6 linked regions of the Macaca mulatta genome follow. The protein of the gene in region 1 interacts with the protein of each later gene in a pairwise test. Links are inferred from orthologs where the notes say so. Each region holds a gene or a part of one and is shown on either strand. Other genes may lie near its edges.

Region 1 (3,996 bases):
TGCGTCTTACTCGAGTTTTGTTTTCTGAGTTAGAGGCGACAGGTGGTGCAGCATTAGACACAGGGAAGCTCTGTGGCTTTTGTATTCATGAGCGCGAAGGTTAATGACGGATCCGTGGGTTTGAGCTTGTCAATACAGACGCCAGACAGCCCGATTTACGGGAACAGCCGATTAGAGGATTGGAGAGGGCGGTCGGTGAACTTCTGGATGTCTTTCGTAAGGGGAAGGCTCTATGGTCGCGTGCAGAGCGCCCGTTCCACGTCAGGCACCGACCATAGAGCAAGGCCGCCGCGGACTACCCAAGGGAAGGGGAGGCCGTGTCCTTTACAACTAGCCTCCCGTTGTTAGTCTAGTCTCTATAGTCAAACCTTCGGGACTCTCTAAAGTCAAAATTTTGCTTTTACTAAAGGCAACTGGGTTCCTTCCAGATTACGAACTGTATATCCACTTAATATCTATTTCGTATACCTCCTCCTACAGCGAAATTTGTGAGGCAGTCCTCTGAAGCACGGCCAATCTGGGGCATTTTTCCTAAAACGAGCCATCTCTACGCTTTAGTGAGCTAAGACAATAACTGCGATTGGTGGGCAGATTGTTTTGAAACCGCCCTAACGGCAAGGGGCGGGCCCCTGGTGAATTCATCTCTTTCCGGTTTCTTAAAGGCAACAGGAAGGAGGGGTTTCTGACGACCCTCCATTTGATTGGTTCTAGTGGTTTTACCCGCTCGGACTCCTCAAGGGGCGGGAGATATACACCAATCGGAATGTGTGTTACAGAGACACTTAGTTTGATGAAAGGACTGCGCAGGAAAGGCCGTCGGACGCTCATTCTGAGATCTCACCGCTGATTGGTCCAAAGGGTTACTCCCTTATTTTCATTGGGCTTTACTGCAGCCGGCGCGCGAGAGCTACCCAATCAGCGCACGCTCCGCCTCCTGCCTTTTCCCGCCCTCCGCTCCGGCCTCGGCTTCGACGTAGGCCAACGCTTCCTACCCGGTAGCTCGTAGGCCTTCTCGTTGCCGTTGTTTTGAAAACCGCACTCTGATTGGCTAGGTTTCCGGGCCCGCGCCCGTTGCCCCATGCACTGACCAATTGGCACTCGTATTACATCGGACGAGGCACGGGTGAAGGGGGAGGCGGTGGCGGCGGCCATTTTGAGCCGCCGCCGCCATTGGAGTGGGCCCCCCCCCTTTCCCCCTTCGCCTCCTGACAGGAAAGGTTTAAGGGGGACAGAGCCCTGGGAGGCCGGGCCGGGCTCGGGGGCCACCCCGGGGGCCCGGGCCATGGATGTGCGCCGTCTGAAGGTGAACGAACTTCGCGAGGAGCTGCAGCGCCGCGGCCTGGACACTCGAGGCCTCAAGGCCGAGCTTGCTGAGCGGCTGCAGGCAGCGTTGGAGGCCGAGGAGCCTGACGACGAGCGGGAGCTCGAGGCCGACGACGAACCGGGGCGACCCGGGCACATCAACGAGGAGGTCGAGACCGAGGGGGGCTCCGAGCTGGAGGGGACCGCGCAGCCACCGCCGCCCGGGCTGCAGCCGCACGCGGAGCCCGGCGGCTACTCGGGGCCGGACGGACATTGTGAGAGTGCGCGGGGCGGGGGCCGGGGAGCCCGGAGCCTGGGCCGAGGAAAGGGCTGTGGGACGCGGGAGTCCAGCGCCTGAGGTCGGGGAGACGACCTGAGGATCGGGGGATCCCGCTACCCGCCGCCGAAAAGGATCTGGGGACAAGGGCCCCGGCACGACCGGAGGGTGGATCCAGACGCTCGGTGCAGGGGGCACACTGGGGGAGGGGCCTCTGGGTTTCGGAGGTGAGGGACGGGGGTGGCGGGGAGGATTCCTTACCGTAGGGATCGGAGACCGGAAACTGGTTTCTGGAGCCGAAGAGAGTCGGAAGAACAAGAGGTTTTCCATTTGGGTTGGGAGGGTCTCGAAAATGGAGATCTTGGGGTTCGGAGCTCCTTGGGCTTGGCGGCCTGGCCAGCCCAGCGTGTGGGCTGCGGGGTGGGGAGCCGTGTTTCCAGGGTGGGGAAAGAATGTCCAGGTGTGCGGGGCTGCGAGAGTTTTGAGGAAGCAGAATCCTGGAGTATGCCGCTGGATGCGATCCTGGGAGTTCTCCTATTTGCTTCGGGGGTGGGTGGGTGAGGTGGAGGCGCTGGTGTCTGTGGCTGGGGAGGGTCTAATGGACTCAGTGCTTTGGAGTTTGGCTGGTGAGCATTTAGGGGCTGCGGGAGATTGAACGAGGGGGCACCCCCATCTCTCTTCCGGGGCTGGAAGGCCACCCTTGAAGCAGGCACAGCCTGGACATTTGGTGCTGGGAGATCTGGGGACTTTCTGGTTGGCTTCTAGAAGAGGTGTAGGGAGCCCTGGTGTCCAGAGGCTGGAGGGGGAGAGGATTTTTCCCTCAACAAAGGATCTGGGGGTCTAGAGCTAAGAAGACTGAGGACAAATAACTCTGAGGCTGCTGCTGAATGGTCTAGAGCTAACTGTGGGCTTTTTGGAGAACGGGGTAGCTGCGGGTGGGATGGGGGCAGATGAGTTGGTAACATTCCAAGTGGATGAAATATGTGGCAGGAGACAGAGGATCCTGTGTCCAGCACAGAAGGAGTATGTATCTGGCTTAGCGAATATGGGGAGGGGGGAGGCTGTAGGGAGCAAAGAGAAAGAAAACCTGTTGACTTCACTGGAGGCCTCAGAGTGGAGTGTGGGGAATGTTTCTGGACCTGAGCGTCTCCCAGAGATATGGTCGGTTCCCAGAAGCAGTTATTTGTGTACCCAGGGAGTGGGGGCCTTCAGCGGGAAGCACAGAACTCTGCATCAGCCAGGAGGTGTGACTCTGGGAATGGGTTCGGGTAGATCTGCGGTTGTCTGAGGAGAGGAAACCCTGGTATAGGACGGAGTGAATCTTCAGTTAGAAAAAAGCAACTTTCGGGCCGGGTGCAGTGGCTCACGCCTGTAATCCCAGCACTTTGGGAGGCCGAGGCGGGCGGATCACAAGGTCAGGAGTTCAAGACCAGCCGGGCCAACATAGTGAAACCCCATCACCCGTCTCTACTAAAAATACAAAAATTAGCCGGGCGTGGTGGTGGGCGCCTGTAGTCCCAGCTACTTGGGAGGCTGAGGCAGAAGAATCGCTTGAACCTGGGAGGGGGAGGTTGTGGTCAGCCGAGATTATGCCATTACACTCCAGCCTGGGCAACAAGAGTGAAACTTTGTCTCAAAAAAGGAAAAGGAGCTTGCTTTCTTTCTCTTTTTTAAAAATACAGATGGGGTCTCGCTATGTTGCCCAGGCTGGTCTTGAACTCCTGGGTTCAAGTGATCTGCTCACCTCAGCCTCCTGAAGTGCTGGGATTACAGGCATGAATCACTGCACCAGGCCTCAGGGCAGGTTTCTAGTAGGACTGGGAAATGGGGGGACTGGAAAGGTTAAGGAGTAAGTAGAAGGGATTCTGGCGTAAGAATTTGTGGAGTTTTTCCGAAAAGAGGGCACCATGGGACTTGGGGCTAAGGGAATGAGGACAGAAATGAGGTAACAGTGGAGACAAGATTTGGGATTGGCATTGGATACTTGTTCATAAGAGATAGAGTTTCCCGGAGGGAGATAACTCGAGTGTGGATTTGGGATAGGCAATGGCCTAGAGATTATCTAGGATCCAGGTGCTGGAAAGAGAACTTCCCATTGCAGAGACTTGTGAAGAAAGGAGTGGGCCTGTGTGTGTGTGTCTAGAGCAGGAGGGACCGTGGCAGGAATGCCTAGCAAGAAAGGGTAGTGGGGTAGTAGTTACCTGGTGGTCTGGCCAGAGAGTCGTCTCTGAGAGGAAAGCGAATTAGGTGCTTTGGAGCGTAGATTCTAGACTCAGACAGACTTCGTTTCAAATCTGGCTTAAAGATATTGGCAAGTCACTTCATCTCTGTGAGCCTGGTTTCCTTACGTGTAAAATGGGGTTAATCAACAAATAGTGTGTTCGCTCTAGCCCCCGGGGGTGTTATGAATGAAATCG
Region 2 (4,144 bases), on another chromosome or scaffold:
ATCCTCCCACCTCAGCCTCCTGAGTAGCCAGGCGGGCGCCACTGCACCTGGCTAATTTTTGTATTTTTTGTAGAGACAGGGTTTCGCCATGTTGCCCAGGCTTGTCCCAAGTTCCTGGGCTCAAGAAATCCATCCACCTTGGCCTCCCGAAGTGCTGGAATTATAGGCATGAGCCACCATGTCCAACCAACTATTTATAATTATGTTGTACTTAACCCGATAAATCCAAAATGTTACCATACATGTTTACACATATTATATGATCATTTACTACAACATAAAAGGTATCAGTGAGACATTTTACTTTTTCTTCATGCTAAGTCTTCAAAATCCAGAATGTATTTTATGCTCACAGCATAGCTGCTGTGCTCAACAGCCCCATGTGGCTAGTGTACACCATACTGAATTGTACAACAATGCTTAGCAAAGACAGAGGGGGTACTTATAAATATTCATTGAAAGAAAGAATGTTTTCCCAGGAAGAGGAAGCTATGGTAGAGTACAGCATTTTCTAAACTTCATTTACTCACATTCTACATTCACAACTTTTTCTGTGTGATCTTTTTCCTTAAAATGTCACACTTTTTATTCCTGAAAAATTATGTAAAACTTTCAGTTGGGCATGGTGGCTTACGTCTGTAATTGCAACACTTTGAGAGGCCGAGGTGGGAAGACTGCTTGAGCCCAGGAGTTTGAAAACAGCCTGGGCAACATAGCAAAACCTTTGTCTCTACAAAAATTAGCCAGGCGAGGTGGCACCCACCTGTTGTCCCAGCTGTTTGGGAGGCTGACATGGGAGGATCACCCGAGCCCGGGCAGGTCAAGGTTACAGTGAGCAGTGATCGTGCCACTGCACTCCAGCCTGGGCAACAGAGTGAGACCCTGTCTCAAAATAAAATAAAAATAAATTTTTCCATTGTGTCAATAAATGAAAAAGAATGGGTCTAAGGATTAAGGGCCTGGGCTTGAGTGCCTACTCATTTACTAGCTCTGGGATCTAAAGTAAAGACTTCACTAAGCCTCAGTCTCTTCATCTGTGATACAGGGACAATACTGACCACCCCAATTTCACAGGGAAGGTTAAGTGAGATGTTGGTATATGCTCTTTGCAAATGCGAAAGTAATCATGAAGTGAAAGAGACTGAGAAGCCAATCCAAGTCTTTCTCTCGAGCCTATTTTCATATGGACCAGTAACACAGATAATCACAAGCTTGTCTGACAAGAGAAAGAGTAGAAGACTTGGGTTCAAACCCCTTATCACCACTTATGCCAGTGTGACTTTTAGAAATGCATTTATTCACCAAATATTTATCAAGTGCCCACAACATACCAGGCACTAGGCTAGGAGCCAAAGAAAATATGAAACCTGCCCTTGAAGGATTTGCAATCTAGCAGGAAGAAAAGAGGCCAGCAAACAAGAAACACCAATAAATTGTTTTAAAAAATCAAATCGTCTCTCTTAAGTCTGTTTGTTCCTTGTGAAATGAGAATAACACCTTCCCAACCTCACTCATAGAAGCTGCTACAAAAACTAATTTTTAAATGTTTGTCAAATAACTCCAAAAACTTGAACTCATAATACATTAGGAAAGTACTTTTTCCTACTTGTAACCCAAAACGACGCTGGCTGCTGTGAATGTCCAGTTTGAACATTTGTTCCAGTTACACTGCACTCATGAAACTCCCTTCGCTTCTGCAAATTTTAGTAAACATGAGAAACAGGAGGATGAACAGGCTTTAACACAAGTATTTAATCTCAAAATCATGATCCAGGTCACAGTTCTAAGGAACATAACACAGACCTCTCAGTCACCCTACCTAGTTACAGTTCATCAAGATAAGCAGTCACACGCTAAGGGAAACTGAATAATTTAAACGGAAGAAAGAGGAAAAGTCATAAAGCAGTCTAGGTAGACACTCCTCTGTCCAAGATTTCAGCAGTCACTATGTTGCTGAGGTAACGCTGGGCTAGGTCAACAGTGTAAGCTAAAAGCCATGTTATGGGCAGAGCAAAGTGCGCACACTTCTTTTTTTAATTTATTTTCTTTTTTTGTTTTTTAAAGCCTCGATGATGGCCTGTTCAGGGAAAATCTCAAAGAAAAATGAGCCGAAGGGCTAGGCTCCCAAGAAGTGGAAACCCTACCCACGCAGGACTAAGTGGGCGCGAGGAAAGCAAGCGACCAGGATTCTGTGATCCCTCCTGAAGTTTAAAAACTGAATGGGACCGTCATCAAAGTCTTGGCAACAATCATTTCCAAAGAGTAAGGAAGGGAGAAACTCTCAGAGGGGGTCCAGGCAGCATCTTCTTCCCTCTGGCTCCACACCATAAACCCATTCTCAGGTACCCACTTCCAGCTCAGTTCCAAGTCGCCCCTTCCCCTGGTCCCGATCCCTCCACAAAGATCGCTCCTCTCCATGCCTGGGCACCTAAGCTCCTCTCCCCTTCCGGGAGGACTCGCTCCAGCTGCACCCTTGGCTGCCCGGGCGACCATCTGGGAGCAGCCCCCGCGCGGGCCGCGGCGCGCCCACCCCGCTCGGGCGGGAGCCGGGACACCCCTCCTCGGAGGCCGGAACCGCCGCGCCAGGCCCCTCCCACAGGAAGCCGCCGCCCCCCGGCGCCCGGGCCGCGCCGCCCCCGGCCCACCCCGCGCCGCCCGCCGCCCCCGGCCCGCCCCGCGCAGGCAGTCAGCCCGCCGCGCCCCCCGCGCCGGCGCTAGCTACCTGCCGTGGCCACAGAAGCGGCGCCCAACTCCTCTCCTACTTCCGCCTTCCACCGCCCGCACTCGGGCCGGGTCACGTGACCGCGCGCGGTCACCTGACCCGGAAGAGGCTGGCCAGGCTCGCAGGTGCGGGCAACCTAGGCCTGGCCTGGGCACTTATGGCCTCGAGGAGGCATTTTTAGCGTCTTTGCATTTGAAAGTGGAAGGGCTTTCTGCTCACCGGATGGTCCCGGGCAGTCAAATAAATTGAGGACTCACTGAGTGCCATTTACTCTGCCCATCAACCTTATGGAGGCAGGGGCAGGTACTAGCCCCATTTTACAGGTGAAACGAGACCTTCAGTCTATTAAGTCAACAAATACTTAATTGAGCTCTTTAGTAGGGTTGCCAGATAAAGTACAGGACACCCACTTAAATTTGAATTTCAGATAAACAGCAGTGTAATATGTATGTCCCAAGTACAGAATGGGATATATTTATACTAAAAAAGTATTTGTTGATTATCTGAAGATCAAATTGAATTGAGTATCTGTATTTCTATTTCCTGGCAACCTTATGCCTATTATGTGCAGGCACTGCTCTAAGATCCAGAACCACAAACATCTCCGCCTTGTGACGTAAAAGTACAAAAGCTTAAAAACTCCTGCTTGGATCCATAAAACCCCCCTCCACACTAATCCAATCTCATTCCCTTAATCTACAGGGCACAGACAGCTTAACGAATTACAATCCAGGTAAGTAGGTAGATAGGTAGGTAGGTAGGTAGGTAGGTAGGTAGGTAGGTAGGTAGGTAGGTAGGTAGATGGATGATAGGCATTTTTTTTTTTTTTTTTTAATTGAGATGGAGTCTCGCTCTTTCGCCAAGGCTGGAGTGCAGTGGTGCTATCTCAGCTGACTGCAACCTCCGCCTTCCCGGTTCATGGGATTCTCCTGCCTCATCCTCCCCAGTAGCTGGGATTACAGGCATGTACCACCATGCCTGGATAACTTTTGCATTTTTCATAGAGACAGGGTTTCCACATGTTGACCAGTCTGGTCTCAAACTCCTGACTTCAAATGATCCGCCCGCCTTGGCCTCCCAAAGTGCTGGGATTACAGACATGAACCACCACGCCTGGCAGAGAAGTTTTTCTTTAAGAGATGGGTCTGGATAGGTTGCTTCGGCTGGGCTCGAACTCCCAGCTTCAAGCAGTCTTCTTGCTTCAGCCTCCCAAGTTGCTGAGACTACAGGTGAATGCCGCTGTGCCTGCCCAATAACTATTTATTTATTTATTTATTTGAGACAGAGTTTCACTCTTGTAGCCCAGGCAGGAGTGCAGTGGCTTGATCTCAGCTCACTGCAACCTCTGCCTCCCAGGTTCAAGCAATTCTCCTGCCTCAGCCTCCCCAGTAGCTGGGACTACAGGCACCCACCACCACACCT
Region 3 (4,004 bases), on another chromosome or scaffold:
CGCCGGGAGCAGGAGGGCTTCCGGCAAAGCCGCGTGCTCTCGTCGGGCAGGCGCTAAGGACTGGGGCCGGCAGCGCGCCTGACCCCGCCCCTCGTAGGCCCCGCCCCGTGCTCGCAGCCGGGGGTTTCCATGGTGATGGTCAACAAGCCTCAACTGCCTCTGCTACAACTGCCAAGTTCCCCGCGTCCCACCCTCCTCTAGGTGCTCCGAGGGACCACCGGGGTGCCTGATGTGAGAGCGGGAGCGTAGAGACTCGGAGGCCGAGGTGAGGGGTGGCCGAAGTCTCCGACGTCGAAGGCCGCACACCCGTGACCGAGCGGGGACCGGGTCCCCCTGGGGGTGTGGACAGTGGGCCTGGGATTTGAGATTGGGGAGACCTTCCGAAGTCCAGGGCCCCGTACCCGGACTACCTGGGGTTTGGGCCTATTGGGGTGGGTGGGGCTGGGGCTGGGATTTGGGATCAGGGAGGAGAGATCTGAGTTTAAGCGCCACGCATCTGGGACCGATCGAGGACTGCACATAATGAGGGGCCGCGGCGCTGAGATTTGGGGGACGGATTCGAGGTCGAGGGGCCGGTACGTGGGACCGACGAGAACTGGACCCCCTGGGATCGGGAGACGCAGTGTCGGAGGTCGAGAGCCGCACGCCCAGATAGTGGTCCCACGCGGTGAGCACCGCGGGCTGAGATTTTGGAGTCAGGGGCTGCCGGGAAGACACGGCCGGCCGGTGCGTTAGTTCAGCCTCCTGGTCGGGCGCTGGCGACCACCGGAGGGCTCTGAAAGTGAGAACAGGCCTGGCTCAGTGGGAGGCCCAGCCGGGAGGATCTCTTGAGCCCAAGAGTTCCCGACAAGCCTGGGCAACATAGTGAAACTGTCTTTGCTAAAAAGTTAAAAAAAAAAAAATAGAAAGCCACGTGTGGTGGCGCGCGCCTGTTGTCCCAGCTACTCGAGAGGCTGAGGCGGGAGAGTTGCTTGCTCTGAGGAGGTCAAGGCTGCAGTGACAGTGACTGTGCCACTGCATTCCAGCCTGGCCGATGGGAGTGAGACCTTGTCTCAGAAGTAATAACAGTAGTAATAATACCTGAATAAAATGAAAGCCGCGCGCTCACGTGGCTGTAGGCGCCTGAGAGTTGCACAAGACTTCCTTGTGGGGAGTTGGCTCCGCCCTCCTCCCACGCCCGGTTCCCGGAGCCTTAGCTCTCTGCCCTGGGCCCATTTTCTTCCTCGGCGGCGCCGCGTGTCCTCGTAGCGCGGTCTCTGTGTTGGTCTCCTGCTCCTAGAGGTACCGTGTTTGTATCTGGGGTGAAAATCTGACTCGTGCGCGCTCTTCGGCTTAGTCGTCTTTTTTTTTTTCCCTTCTGCTTGTGTGTATGAAGCATTTTCGTCGATTCCGCCCTGCTCCTAGGAAACTTGAGGACGGGGCCCGGCTCCTGCTGCGCCGGCTGCCCCGCTCCCCCAACCGCAGAGTCGTGGACCAGGGTTTTGAGGAGCAGGGCACCCGACTCGCCCTCCCCGCCAGACCGCCCAGGTCGCGGGGACCCCTCCCGCTAGGTGCCTGGGATCCCCGCTCGGCTCCGCGTGTGTCCCGGCTGGAGGGTGGAAGGAGAGCCGAGCTCGGCCATTGCCCGCGGGGCGCCCTTCGCTGCGGCTTTTCGGTCTCCGAGCGGCCCGGGGACGAGCTAACGCGCCTCTTTAGTTTTCGAAACTGCTTGCGGGCGCTGGGGGCTCGGGCCGGCCATCTGCGTGGCGGGACAGGAGGCGCGCGCTGGCGGCTGCGCGCGAAGGGCAACGGGCGGCGACGGCGGCTTCCCGGAACCGCGCGGGGCGGGCGCTGCGCCGGGGTCAGGGCCACAGCCTCAGGCGGCAGGGAGTTCTGAAAGTGTTGTCTTCAGTCGTTCCTTTCAAAAAGTCATCTTAATTCTTCCAAAAATATACACATATAATTCTTTCTACTTATATTTTTAAAAGTTAGATACGTGGTTGTCTCTGAATTCCTAGTAAGATAAAAATTCATTGGGTTCTCTAGGTAGGTGAAAGATATCTTAAGTGCTATCCCTGAAAAGTGACTCGTTGCTTTTACAGAATTTATAAAATAAGACATTACTACTTTAATGAATGTAAAGAGAGAGATTGCTTTATTCCTAAGCAAAAAGATCTTTTGCCTTGTAGGTATTACATTCCGGTGTGCATTCTGTAGATTAGAGTCACTGCCGGCCGGGCGAGGTGGCTCACGCCTGTAATCCCAGCATTTAGGGAGGCCGAGGTGTGGGAGAATCGCTTGGGCGTCAGAGACCGACCCCGTCTCTATAAAATGATATATATATTATATATATTATTTTTTGAGACAGGGTCTCACTTTGTTGCCCAGGCTGTGTGATCTCGGCTGGCTGCCGAGATCCTCCTGTGCTCAAGGGGTCCTCCCACCTCAGCCGCCGAGTATCTGGGACCACGGGCATTCTCCAGCACGCCTGGCAAATTTTTGTATTTTTTGTAGAGATGGGGTCTCCTTGTGTTGCCCAGATTGATTTTCAAACTTTTGTGTTCAAGCGATTCTCACGCCTCTGCCTCCCAAAGTGCTGGGATTACAGGCGTGAGCCATCATGCCTGGCCACTTTTTTGTAAACTGTGAAGTTTTCTGTTAAGGGTAGCGTTACAAAGCTTTATTCAGGTAAAAATTGCAATTTATTTAAGGGAAAATAGTGAGTAAATAAAGTTACTTCTCCCACGTGGCCAGAACCTTGGAAAGTCTGGAGGCAAATGAGAGCCTAGTGCGGGTAGATGCCTGCAGGGGCTGCAGAAATGTGACAGGCCCTTTCCGTGGAGGTGACTTCTCTAATTCCCCTCCTCCACTGAGCTCTGGTTCTCTGCTCTTCGAGAGAACCACATTAGTTGATTCTTACTAGGTCCTAGAAGTTTTATTCCATTTTCTAATTACATTCTCAGGACTACTGTAAAAGGGGTTGCTATTAGCCCCAGATGAGAAAATGGAGGTTGGGAGAAGTCACGTGCCCAGGGACACAATTGGGACTGGGTCCCAAGTTGGACCGGGACACCCCTCCCCTGCCGGGGCCCTTGCCCTGTCTTAGTTCCCCTGAGCTACGGTTCTTTGGAGGGCAACAGGGTGGGCAGAGGGAGAACAGTCAGCCAAGACCACCCTGGGTTATTTTACAGCAAATCCCAGACCAATAAGGTGTTTATTAATAAATAAATCCGCAGTATTTCTAAGGACTTTTAAAATCTAACCATAATACTGCTATCATACCTAAAAATACATTCCAAAATACCAAGTTTCCAGGGTTTAAATGTTTCCGTATTAAATATTTTAAACAACTGGTTGGTTTGAGTCAGGATCCAAAGTCACACCTTATATTTTGTAGATAACTTTTTAAATTCAGAGCAGCACTGGCCAATAGAAGTATAATGTATGCTATAAATGTAATCTTATATTCTTTTTTTTTTTTTTTGAGACGGAGTCTCACTCTGTCGCCCGGGCTGGAGTGCCGTGCGGGTTTACGCCATTCTCCTGCCTCAGCCTCCCGAGTAGCTGGGACTACAGGCACCCGCCACTTTGCCGGGCTAGTATTTTGTGTTTTTTGGTAGAGACAGGGTTTCACTGTGTTAGCCAGAATGGTCTCGATCTCCTGACCTCGTGATCCGCCCGTCTCGGCCTCCCAAAGTGCTGGGATTACAGGCTTGAGCCACCGCGCCCGGCCAATCTTATATTCTCTAGTGGTAAAAGGAAACGTGATTCATTGTATTAATAATTTAACCTAACATATATCCACTATTAAAACACTTTCGTTTCTCCATGATCTTGACTAAAATAATTAAAAACAATCCTGTGAACCTGTCAAAATCCAGTGAGTTTTACACATACACATTTCAGGTGTGGTGAATGGATGCTGTATCAGTGATCATCTAGAAGTTCCCCTTTCTTAAAGGCCCCATTCCCGGTTATATTTGTCGGGTTGTCTTGCAGCATTCCTTCCCCACACTTCGCATTTT
Region 4 (3,500 bases), on another chromosome or scaffold:
TGCTTTTTTTTTTTTTTTTTTTTTTGTCTTACAGTGCAAAGCTTTCTTTCCTTTTTTTCTGCTACCACACATCCTTTTTGCAAGGAAGTTTGTAATATGATAACTTTAGTATGAAATCTGGCAATACTGCTTACTTGATAATTCCAATGAAAGTGACAGTGTAGGGTTGTCATTGTTGGTGAGCTCTATTTGTTCATTATTTTTTCTCCTTCTTGAATTATTTCTAGGAGTAGAAGATGAAAATACTTACTTAGCCATGCTCATACTAGAAATCTTGACTGACTTTCACATTGTTTTATTTCCGCTATAACTTAATTTTTTTCCATTTGCAGTTATAAAAAGTTGATATCTCTGAAAATAACTGATACTGATATAAGACCGAAGATCAGTTTAAAATTTAATACAAAAGGTATTATTTTATTTTTATATGCCTTCTGTTGAAAAGTATGTTAAAATTTTTGACTTCTCTGTCAACTTTCATGCCATAAACAACCACGTCTTTACCGTGTTTGTCATTCACTAAGCTTGGGTTTATACGAGCACTTGGTGTAGGCTGGAAATCACAGACAGGAAGATCAGCAGATGTATGGATCTCACATTACCTTGGCATCCTATAGAGAGGCATGCTAGGTCTGGTGCATAACTATGACTATACCGTGGGATTGTGTTCCAGCAGAGGTTTTCTACCAACCCTTCCTTCCCTTGTTGCATTCCTTCTTAATAGAGCAAGCATTAGAGTACCCTTACATGAAAGGAATGAACATTTTGAGTTTAAGGCCAAGTACTCTAAACTTAGCTGCCAGCTTTTTAGGAGTGTGCTAGGAAATATCCTGCCCAGAACCTGGAGACCTTAATTAAGGGACCGTGGGCCCATGGAAGAATAGTTTGGTGGCAGTCTAGCCAACTTTGTATTTGGTTGGTAACCCAAAGAAAGCTCCCTGTGTCATTAGCTTTTTAACTTTGCCTCCACAGTGTATATCGAGTATTTCAAGCAAAAATGTTAATTTAATAAATCTCTTGAAACATAGAATCTTGAAGGATAAAATAAAGCTGCATTTTGTGAGAAACACATATTTTGATATCCATATAACACCAAATGCCGTCATATAACAAATTATTAGTACTTTCTAATTCACCTCAGCCCACTTTTCTCCTTTGAAAGCACTATTAAAACAGGAAAATACCAAATAGTTCAGTTTCATGCCTTATTCCATGTTATTGATGAAATACCTACCTCTCTTTTTTTGAGGGGGTGAGAAGATGAGTTTTATTAGATCAGAATTTCTCAAACATTATACATATATTTGATATATCTGGCAATTTTGTTAAAAGGCAGATTTCAATTCAGTAGGTCTGGAGTGGGGCCTGAGACTGTGCTTTTCTAACAGGCTCTCAGGTGGATGCTTGATGCTACTGGTCTCTGGGCTACCCTTTGAGTAGCAAGGAGCTAGATCTTTTGGCATTTCTTGATATAGATCTGAGCTATCTAGTATAGTAGTCCCTAGCTGTATGTGCCTACTTAAATTTAAATTAATTAAAATTAAATTGAAAATTCAGTTCCTTAGTCACCCAAGCAGCATTTCCAGTGCTCAATGAGTATTAGTGCAAATATAAAACATTTTATCACACGATATTCTGTTGGGCAGTGCTGATTAGGATAAAGTATAATTGTTTATGTAAAGTAGAGTTAAACATTGACAATTAGCATTCTTGGCAAATTTCAGAATTTTTAAAGACCTAATACTGTGATGTCATTTTGTTGCCAAAGATCATTTACTTGAACAAAACCTTGGATGACTGAAAGACTTCTGTGGTGATTAGTCTTTGTTATTACTTTTGCTTGGGAACATTTTTTTTTTAGATGTTTTGACAGAGATAAAGCAGCATGCTAATTGAGCACTGGCTGTGGCAAAGCCCTGTGCAATCCTTCATTGTTTTGGAATAGTTTTTATCCTGCAGGAGCTTAGGATATAATATGAGAGACCAAATAGAAAAAGAGAATTAATGTGGAATGTCTTGACTTCCCAAAATTTATTTTCAGATGAAATGCCTATCTTCAAGCTTGATTATAATTATTTCTATCATCTGCTTCATATAATTATTATTTCTGGTACTGACATTGTTCGGCAAATATTTGATGAGGCTATGCCACCCCCTCTTTTGAAAAAAGAGCTTCTTATACACAAGAATGTGCTGGAATCCTACTATAACCATCTTTGGACCAATCATCCTTTGGGTGGATCATGGCATCTGCTTTATCCTCCAAACAAGGAGTTACCACAATCCAAACAGTTTGACTTATGCCTCCTGTTAGCTCTTATAAAACATTTGAATGTGTTCCCTGCACCCAAAAAAGGATGGAATATGGAACCGCCATCTTCTGACATCTGTAAATCTGCAGACATCCTGCGACTGTGCAAATACAGAGATATCCTCCTTAGTGAGATTTTGATGAATGGTCTCACTGAGTCACAGTTCAGTTCAATTTGGAAAAAAGTTTCAGATATTCTTCTGCGCCTTGGGATGAAGCAAGAGGATATTGACAAAGTGAAGGAGAATCCCATTGAGAATATCTCCCTTGATTACCATCAGCTATCCATCTACCTAGGCATACCAGTACCAGAAATCATACAGAGGATGTTATCCTGCTATCAACAAGGTACTAAGTGATTATTTACTTCAGCCAATAAACTTCCGTTGATTGAATGTCTGCTCTGTGCCAGGCACAGTGCAAAGGGCAAGAGATTCAGTGAGCTCATGGTTTTGGGAAAATAGACTCATCAGGAGGGTAATAGAAATTATAGTGCTAGAGATGTTTCCAGAATACCATGGGAAATCCTAGGCTGAAGGAGTCCAAAAAAGCTTTCTGGAGAGTGTGATTGTTAAAGAACTATTAATGGTGTGCAAAAGTTAGCCAGGTGAAAAAGATTGAGAAGGATGTTTCAGAGGGAGACAAAAATAAACGTATAGAAACATAAAAATATACTGCAGGCAACTAAAAAAGGTTGGCTTTATTGAGATTAGGGGAGAGTTCATAAGGTACATTCAAGAGGATTTTTTTGTCACATTGAGGAGTTTGCATTGTTCAGACAGAAATCGTTGAAGACTTTTAAGTAGAGTTTTATCACATTAAGTGGAGTTTTATTCTCCAAAATTAGTAAAGTCTAAAACCATGACATATAGGTACTGTGTGGTTTCAAAGATGTTCGTTTAGACAGTGTGGATATATGTTTCTTCTACTTTCTAGCAGAACCTTGTTTAGTTTACAATTTTAGCAGCTATTCGTTGGCTGTAGGTAATTTTAAAAATCAAGTAACATTCATGCAAGTGTTTGTATTGGCCATTCCCCAACTTGTCTGTTGATATGGAAAAGACTTCAGACCTCCTCTCCCACATCTCAGGATACCTTCTCAGCTATTCTTTCGGAAAGCAGAGTTCAAGGCATGACAACATCTCTGAAACCCTGCTGTGCTATTCAGGATGACTTCCTGGTCCCAAGT
Region 5 (3,500 bases), on another chromosome or scaffold:
CAGGCTCCTGTCTGCTGGTGTGGTCTGGGCGCGGTCCTCGCTCTGCTCCTGGCTGCTGCCTGTCTTCTTTCTGGCGATGCTGTTTCTACGCCGGGCCTTCTGCAGCTCGAGAGTGCTGGTGGGAGGGGTGCAGCCTCTCCTCCAGCCCGCGGCTTTGCTGGCTGCCCTGAGCAAGCCTTTCTCTGCCTCCTTTCAGGGTGGCTGATTCTCATGTAGGTGTCCTTGGGTTTCAGGCATTTTCCTCCCTCAGGACAAGGCTGGGTCTCTCACTTATCCCTCGGGGCACTCCCCAAGAACAGGAGGGGTGAGCTCATGTGTGCAGAGGACTTTGGGGGACCCCCTGCCCACCTACGCTGGCCCCTCTCTCACGGTGTATTGCTGTTTTCTGTAGTCGGACACCTGGCCCTGGGGAGTCTCGTTGGGATGCGGTGGTCCCTCCAGCCTCAGTGGTCCGGGCGACACTGCACCCCTGTGTGCACAGTGCTCCCTCTTGCCTGTCTGCTCGCCTGGCCGTGCTGTGCTGAGCTGAGGGACTCCAGAAGCCAGTACTGTTGCTCTTGTGTTTTGCTCATATTTTTAGATGTGGGGTGGCGGGGTCAGGGGTTATCAGCTGTGGCTCTGACCCTCCATCTCAGTCCAGAACTTGGCATGGCTCTAGGTCACAGGCAGTGATTCTGAATGTGCATTTCTTCCAGAAACTCCACTTGGAAATGTTGGCAGACCAGCCACGAACAACTAAATACCACAGTGTCATCCTGCAGAATAAAGAATCCCTAACGGATAAAGTCATCCTGGACGTGGGCTGTGGGACTGGGATCATCAGTCTCTTCTGTGCACACTATGCGCGGCCTAAAGCGGTGAGTGGGGTCTCGAACGCTTCCCGGGTGTTTGTGCCAAGGCTGGTGATGTCCGAGGTGGCCTCTGAGTGTGCTAACTCGTGACCCTGAGCTGTTGAGGGCTCACTGATGACTCCGTGGTGTTGGTGAGCATCCTTGCACGTGCAGCTCAGGGTCGGTAAAACAGCAGTGTGTTGAGACTGCATGCTAGAGGCTGTGGCGCCCACGTAATGAGTCACAGCACAGACAGGAATAGAGCAGAATAGAAAATATCCCATGAATTGCACAGGGCGGGGTATGTTCTGTGAGACATTTATTTCAGTTGAGTAGACAAACAGGTGCACCCACATGTCTGTGCTGGGCCTTGGGTATGGATGGTCCCACGGGGATGGGAGGGGTGCACACGCTGGGCCCCCTCCCCACTCCTCTTGGGCCATCTGTGCTGTGCTGAGCTGAGCCGAGCCGCAGCCTTGGAGACTCCTTACACAGTGGGTGGGGTCGCAGCACAGTGTCCACCCAAGTCCAGGCTCTGCAGGACCCAGGGCCCAGCACTTGGGCACTTCCCACCAGACCCTTCCCTGAGACCCTGGGTTTGAAACTGTCTCACAGGCCTCAGATGTGGCACAGACCAGCATTGTCACTTGGGTGCTCAGAACTTGCTGTGCTGGTCATGGATTAAGATTGCTGTGCGTGTGGCAGCCGACTCGGGCATGCGAGGCTTCCGCCCACTTGCAGCCCTGCGTCTGTGTCTTGTGCAGGAGGTGGGGGCAGTCGGGAGGGTTAGAGGCGGCTCCTTTCTGGGTGTCCCTGGAGGGGCAGGTGTGGCCCAGCCCTCACTTTCTCTGCTGTCTGGAATACTGCTTCCCTCTTGTGTCATTGACCATTTCTCGTATGCTGGTTGTGACTCAGGAGAGTAGATGACGGGCCGAGGCTGGGCGTGCACTGACGGTGCTTCTGCTGCTGCAGGTGTATGCGGTGGAGGCCAGTGAGATGGCACAGCACACGGGGCAGCTGGTCCTGCAGAATGGCTTTGCCGACATCATCACCGTGTTCCAACAGAAGGTGGAGGACGTGGTACTGCCCGAGAAGGTGGATGTGCTGGTGTCCGAGTGGATGGGGACCTGCCTGCTGGTGAGGGGGGGCGTGCGGGCAGCTGGGGGCCAGGGCTGGGGGGCTTCTGAGCACAGGCTCGGCTGGGCCAACCTCAGGATCTGAAGAGTCATGCATGATTCATTTTGATGTTTTCCCTATTGTGAGGTATAATTAATTTCTTGTGTGCACATTGGCTCAGTGTCTTGAATTTTCACCTGATTTAAAAAATGCCTTTATGAGAAATTTAAGTCAAAGTTCATGTAACATTTTCATGAGTGATTTACATGAACTGTGTTCTCGGGAATCTGTAAAAATCCTGTGCCTAACAGGTAAGGCTGTTTCTTTAACGCCAGTAGGGCCTTCGTCCCTGGCCAGGGTCTTCTTACCTTAGACTGGCCCCAGTGATGCTGTGAAGCCACTTGGGCATCTGTGGGGCCAGCATGTGCCTGGCCTGGCCTGGGTCGTTCACCCTGAGTTTCACATGTGGGTGGAAGTGGACTGTTTTCTGGTTGCTTGCGAATATGCCCTGCACAAACACTGTCTGCTTGGAGGGAAAGTGACAGGAGTGTGGCTGGACGCTGTCTGCCTGGTGCTCTCCTCCTGGGCTCAGCATCCTGGAACACAGGACATCGGAGTAGAGCATCCCAACCTGAAACTGCGTCTCAGTGTAGAGACCCAGAAAGATGGGGTCTGGGTGAAGGAGTGTGAAATATGGCTGCTGCTTCTCCAGGAAACGGTTTCCCGTGGTAACAGATGGCATTGGCTTTTAGTCCTGTTGAAATTTTGTTGTCAGAAGATAAATGTAAATAGACTCAATGTCCATGCTGTGACTTGGCTTATTAATAACGTCTGTGGAGCCATAAGGTGACACACTAGAGAAACGGGCTCCACTCCCAATCCCTGAAGGGGCTTTCACCTTTGCCCCTGAACAGCTGTGCCCATTCAATAAGTGTCTGTTGACAGCTCGTGCCTGGCTACGGGGACAAAAAGAGGACAGAAGAGGAGTGAGGCTGTGGTGAGGCCAAGGGTGTGTGGGCACTGATGTGGGGAAGCCTGGCTGCTGCGGTGTCCGGCTGTGCCCTGGGTTGGGTGACAGGGACACAGGAGGGACGTGGGGCAGAGGGAGGGGAGAGGAGTAGCCACTGTGTTCACCATGTTGCTGTGTTCCGGGGCTGCCCAGTGGCCGGATTGGCCAGACTGTGTTGCATCAGGGAGGCAGAGGCCAGATGTAGGGTACTGTGTGTCTGAGGACTTTGTGCCACATCCTGGACACCAAGGGGAGTGCCAGTGGTGTGTGTGAGTGATGGAGTAAGAGGTGGGCTGTGTTTTGGAGGCCCCTGGGTATGTGTGGCCGGGACCAGAGGCCAGGGACTGGCTGTGGTCCAGCCCCAGCATGCAGAGGCCTGGGACAGCCTGTGTGAAGGGAGGCCCCTCTGTGTGGGAGGTGCACAGACTTCCAGGACTGACTGTGGCTTTACTGTCAAGATGTAGGAGCCAGGGCTTGGCATGGCGCAGGTGTGGAGATGCAGAGCAGGGCCAGCAGGCAGGATGTGCCGTTGGGGGCTTGGCATG
Region 6 (4,244 bases), on another chromosome or scaffold:
CCGCGGGAAAGATACCATTGCGCTTATCTGGCAGGACAGGCGACCCGTCCCCGTCCGGCGGGAGCAGCGAGCCCTTTCTGGGCTCTGACCACGCCCCAGCCGAGAACTCCGCCCGCAGGTCGCGGGCCACTTGGTCGCATCCCTCCTCCTCGTCGACTTCGCCTTCACCCCAACTGTCCCCCTGAGTAAAGGAGGAATATGTTGGCCCAGCCACAGGGCCCGGGGTCCCGGGACGGCGGCGCCGCAGAGCCGACCGCCACCCGCTCTCCGCTAACGACATGGCGCGAAGCACAGCGAAACCCGCGGAGTATGAGCCTCTCCCACCTGCCCCGCCCCGGGTCCGCAACAGCCAATCCGCGGCCGTGGCCGCTACCACCATGCCTCAGAACCCAGGGGTAAACCACGGAGAGCAAGGTTGGGCGGCGGGTTGCAAAGGAAGTCGTAGGGCCTGAGGCGAGGTGGGATGCGCTTGGACCAGAGCTCGACCCCAGGGCTGTAGCCGGAAGGGGGAGCAGGAAAGCGCGCAGCGAGAAGTGGGCGGAGGCCGAAGGCGGCCGAGTATCCACTCCCTGCAGCGCTTCATCCCTGCCGGACACCTCCGCCACTGCCGCGTCACCAACGGGAGCGCGAGACCCGACAGCCCCAAAGCCGCATCTTTTCGACGCCGGGTCCTAGCGCCCTCCCGCGCCTTCGACACATTCCCGAACCTATTTGCCTTCTCCCTTCTTCCCCTCTACGCTCACACTCTTCTCCAGGTTCCCCTATTAAGAAAGGGCAGCTCTCTGCCTGGTACTCTGGCGGTGCCTTCACTGCTCACCCCATCTCCCTTTAGTGTGGTTCTCCCCACCCGTACCACAACTTCCCTCACGCTACTCGACACGCCTCCTTCCTCCTCCGCCCAGGCGCGCGCTCTCCACCTGGTGCGTACCGAGCTCGAACCCTCTCCTCGGAACCCCTCCTTTCGCCTTCCCCGCCCCCTCCCCTCCGCCTCGAGCACTGCGCGCGCGCATTCGGTCCCAGCCACCGCTAACACTAGAGGCTGCTTACCCCCGCCCCCTCCACCCTACCCCTGGCGGCCTCAGGTTTGTGGGGCGTACGTAACTCGGGCGGGGAGGGGGAAGGTGGCAGACCCCACTGCCCCACCCCCTACGGGGTGAGGCGGTCTAAGCTCGGGAAGCTGGGACACGGTTGTCTTCCCTTCCCCTGGGGAAGTTGGTAGAGTTTTCCCGACGGAGGACTCGGCGCAGAAACTTCCTCCGTCCTCCCCCCGCCCCATGCAGGCGACGCCGAGTGAGGCTGAGGCTGCGGGCGAATCGCCGCAGAGTTGCGTGTCGGCCGCGCATTCTGATTGGACAGCGGGAAAGCCCGTCAGCCTGTTGGCCTCGCTGATCCCGCCCCGTAGCGCAGGGCAGCCTTTAACCTTTAGCCCCAGTGGGCGCCAGCCACTCAGATCGCTTCTTGTTGGTATGTGTAGCGGCAGTGGCCGCCGGCGGAGCAGTCTGAGCCCGACGATGAGGCCGGGGACGGGAGCTGAACGTGGAGGCCTCATGGTGAGTGAAATGGAGAGCCATCCTCCCTCGCAGGGTCCTGGGGACGGGGAGCGGAGATTGTCCGGCTCAAGCCTCTGCTCCGGCTCTTGGGTCTCTGCTGACGGCTTCCTGAGGAGACGGCCCTCGGTAAGGGATCAGTGGGGCAGGGGGAAGGCGGCACAATGAAAAACGGAGTGAGAGAAACAGGAAGCTTTCTCCGAAAGGAGAAGAAGATAAGAGTGGACGAAGGAAGAACTCGAGATGGTGGGATATGTTGTGAGGGAGAGAAGTGGAGGGTGGGGATGCACAAAGAAGGATGTGAGACCCTGGAAGTACCCCGTAGGCTTGGCCTAGACAGATGCGTGGTGAAGGTGCTGGCTCTTGGGCGGGGTGAGCGTCTTGGAGCTTTAGGCCCGATTTAGCTGGAAGGGGGAGGGAGGGGCTTGATTCTGTAAGACTTTAACAGCGGCTGCCAAAATTTGTTTTCATTACTTGTGGGGTCGTCTGCATGGGGAACTGTTAGGACAATTGACAGGAGATAATTAGCTGGTTTTAATTTAAAACATGGAACAATGGACTCATCGGTAAAGAAAGTAGTTGTCTTTTTAAATTGCGTTGAAAGGGATGAATTAGTTGTTTGCATTTAGTGTCCGTGAGTAACAGAACCTCAGTCGTTAAAAATGTATTTTTGACAGAAGGAATTTTACCTGTCTTAAAGGTTATGTTAGGAAATAAGTTTGTTAGGAGTGAATTGTCCCTGGGTGGCACTACTGTTTGTGTTTTATAAGACTGACTTTCACCTGAGTTAATATGATAGAGCATTTTAAAGTTTAAAATCAGTAGTGTTATAAAATAACAATAGCTGGCTATTTTTTATATTTGCATGAAATAGAAGAATTGTTGTTTTCACTGTAACAGTTTTAAGATTAGTATTCAATATGTATCCTCCAAGCTTAGCAAGCCAGTTAGTAGCTGATTAAGTCAATGCTTAAAAAAAAGAGAAAACCTATGATCCAGCTGTCCAGTAATCATCTTAACTTTTCCCGTTTTGTTGCGGAATTTGCAAGCTCGTTTTAAATACTAGCAGAATGCATTTTGTTTAAAACAAGGTATAGATTAATCCAGTGACATTATTATGCATAAGCTTAATATTAGGTTGCTTCAGATAACTGATTTGTTGAAATGAGATTTTTGAGAAGCGTTTAGTATTATTTGCTCATTTAAAAACGTTCGCTGTTTTTCAGATGGGGCACCCTGGCATGCATTATGCCCCAATGGGAATGCACCCTATGGGTCAGAGAGCGAATATGCCTCCTGTACCTCATGGAATGATGCCACAGATGATGCCCCCTATGGGAGGGCCACCAATGGGACAAGTAAGAATGCTTTTATTTTATTTTGCATTTATTTATTTGTTTTTGCCTCAGGTATTCTGTCAAGATTTCAAAATCTAGGTCAATAGTTATAGCTGTTTAAGGATTAGTTTATGCCCGAATAATTTTAAATAAGCCAAATGTTGAATCATGAATGTAATGGAAATTTGAATGTAATGAAAAAGTCTCCTGAGAAATTTACTGATTACCTCAAAACTAAGAATTTTTTTTTATTATTATTTAAAAGTAAAGTGTGCGTCCAGGCTTTTATTTTTAATGATTATTTTTTCAACCATGCCAATTGAAGTTAATGGTCTAAAAGTAAATATTATCTGATACAGCAACATAACTGATTTTGGTAGACCATGTAAATAAATAGAATCTGAAAATAGCAATTGTTTTGGTTTAGAGCGAATTTTATTCCTGAAATATCTTCCTCTGTGTGTGTTGGAGGAGAGTGAGGGAGGGTGGGGGGTTTGTGCTCTATAATTCTGATTCTTCATAGGACAGTGCCAGTAGGTACTTCATTTTCCACTTACACTATTTTTTTTAATGCTTATTGCTTCTACACTCCTGCTTATGAGCTGTCCCTTCCATCTCTAGCATAAATTGTAAATGGACATTTTGTAGAAGTGATTTGGATCAAAAGGTTTTAATGCTGATTCAGTGATTTCGGTAGAACTGAGTTTCTAGAGAAGCATCTAAGAAAGGTAACAGGTTCAGTTACCATGAGTAATTTTGTGCTCCATGTTAAGTTCTATATAGATCTTTAGGTGGCTGGGTTATTTCCATTTGAGTATTTCCATAAATCATCAAAAATTTAGGCTAACAAAATATTTTGGAAGCCAATTTCATGTGATCTTTTGCTAATTAGTACTGTTTGATAATTGTTTAAGCTTTCATGGTTAAAGTTATTGGTGAAATTGCAGTGGGAAAAGGAGCTTGCTATGTGTCTGTCTCTTTTTACTTAACCTTAAGAGTAGAAGGGCTTAATGTCAAGTGATTTTCCTCTTTTTTTTTTAATTTGGAATGTTGCCCTTAATTTTGTTTAAAAAAAAAACAAAAAAAAACCTTTATTCAAAGACACCAGCCCCAAAAGATTCTGCTTGCAGGAGTTCTTTAAATAAAAGAGCCTTTTATTCTGTGACTTTAGAATAACACAAATTTTAAAACTCTCTAGGTGATGGAGAAACAACTTTGATTCCTCTTCTGTTTCTTTCCATCTCTAAGCAGCAAGGAGCTCTTCTTGTTTTCTTGGTAGAGCTGCTCTAACTAGATAATGAGCTTTAAAAATATTTATTCTTTAAATGCTCTGGTTCTTATTTAAAATTAGTTTCTTTCC

What was found.
Region 2: the proteins of HNRNPUL1 (region 1) and WWP2 interact in binary tests that used the Homo sapiens proteins (3 or more experiments, as listed by UniProt). The link is inferred for Macaca mulatta from reciprocal best matches to the Homo sapiens genes HNRNPUL1 and WWP2.
Region 3: the proteins of HNRNPUL1 (region 1) and HNRNPF interact in a two-hybrid assay, tested with the Homo sapiens proteins (3 studies listed by BioGRID and IntAct). The link is inferred for Macaca mulatta from reciprocal best matches to the Homo sapiens genes HNRNPUL1 and HNRNPF.
Region 4: the proteins of HNRNPUL1 (region 1) and DZIP3 interact in binary tests that used the Homo sapiens proteins (3 or more experiments, as listed by UniProt). The link is inferred for Macaca mulatta from reciprocal best matches to the Homo sapiens genes HNRNPUL1 and DZIP3.
Region 5: the proteins of HNRNPUL1 (region 1) and PRMT2 interact in a two-hybrid assay, tested with the Homo sapiens proteins (2 studies listed by BioGRID and IntAct). The link is inferred for Macaca mulatta from reciprocal best matches to the Homo sapiens genes HNRNPUL1 and PRMT2.
Region 6: the proteins of HNRNPUL1 (region 1) and PRPF40A interact in a two-hybrid assay, tested with the Homo sapiens proteins (2 studies listed by BioGRID and IntAct). The link is inferred for Macaca mulatta from reciprocal best matches to the Homo sapiens genes HNRNPUL1 and PRPF40A.

Annotation. Positions count from the first base shown.
Region 1 is NC_133424.1:52,406,476-52,410,471, forward strand, and holds the start of HNRNPUL1 (heterogeneous nuclear ribonucleoprotein U-like protein 1), read left to right. Parts: upstream 1-1,196; 5' UTR 1,197-1,282; coding exon 1,283-1,577; intron 1,578-1,751; exon of another isoform or gene 1,752-1,945; intron 1,946-3,996.
Region 2 is NC_133425.1:65,382,093-65,386,236, reverse strand, and holds the start of WWP2 (NEDD4-like E3 ubiquitin-protein ligase WWP2), read right to left. Parts: upstream 2,801-4,144; 5' UTR 2,723-2,800; intron 1-2,722. UniProt on the Homo sapiens protein: E3 ubiquitin-protein ligase which accepts ubiquitin from an E2 ubiquitin-conjugating enzyme in the form of a thioester and then directly transfers the ubiquitin to targeted substrates.
Region 3 is NC_133414.1:55,882,615-55,886,618, reverse strand, and holds the start of HNRNPF (heterogeneous nuclear ribonucleoprotein F), read left to right. Parts: upstream 1-1,204; 5' UTR 1,205-1,281; intron 1,282-4,004.
Region 4 is NC_133407.1:175,012,729-175,016,228, reverse strand, and holds part of DZIP3 (E3 ubiquitin-protein ligase DZIP3), read left to right. Parts: intron 1-332; coding exon 333-409; intron 410-2,041; coding exon 2,042-2,659; intron 2,660-3,500. UniProt on the Homo sapiens protein: E3 Ubiquitin ligase proteins mediate ubiquitination and subsequent proteasomal degradation of target proteins.
Region 5 is NC_133408.1:939,095-942,594, reverse strand, and holds part of PRMT2 (protein arginine N-methyltransferase 2), read left to right. Parts: intron 1-695; coding exon 696-857; intron 858-1,802; coding exon 1,803-1,967; intron 1,968-3,500. UniProt on the Homo sapiens protein: Arginine methyltransferase that methylates the guanidino nitrogens of arginyl residues in proteins such as STAT3, FBL, histone H4. Acts as a coactivator (with NCOA2) of the androgen receptor (AR)-mediated transactivation.
Region 6 is NC_133417.1:57,628,312-57,632,555, reverse strand, and holds the start of PRPF40A (pre-mRNA-processing factor 40 homolog A), read left to right. Parts: upstream 1-1,444; 5' UTR 1,445-1,466; coding exon 1,467-1,676; intron 1,677-2,773; coding exon 2,774-2,905; intron 2,906-4,244. Other genes in the region: ARL6IP6 (ADP-ribosylation factor-like protein 6-interacting protein 6), read right to left, coding at 1-280.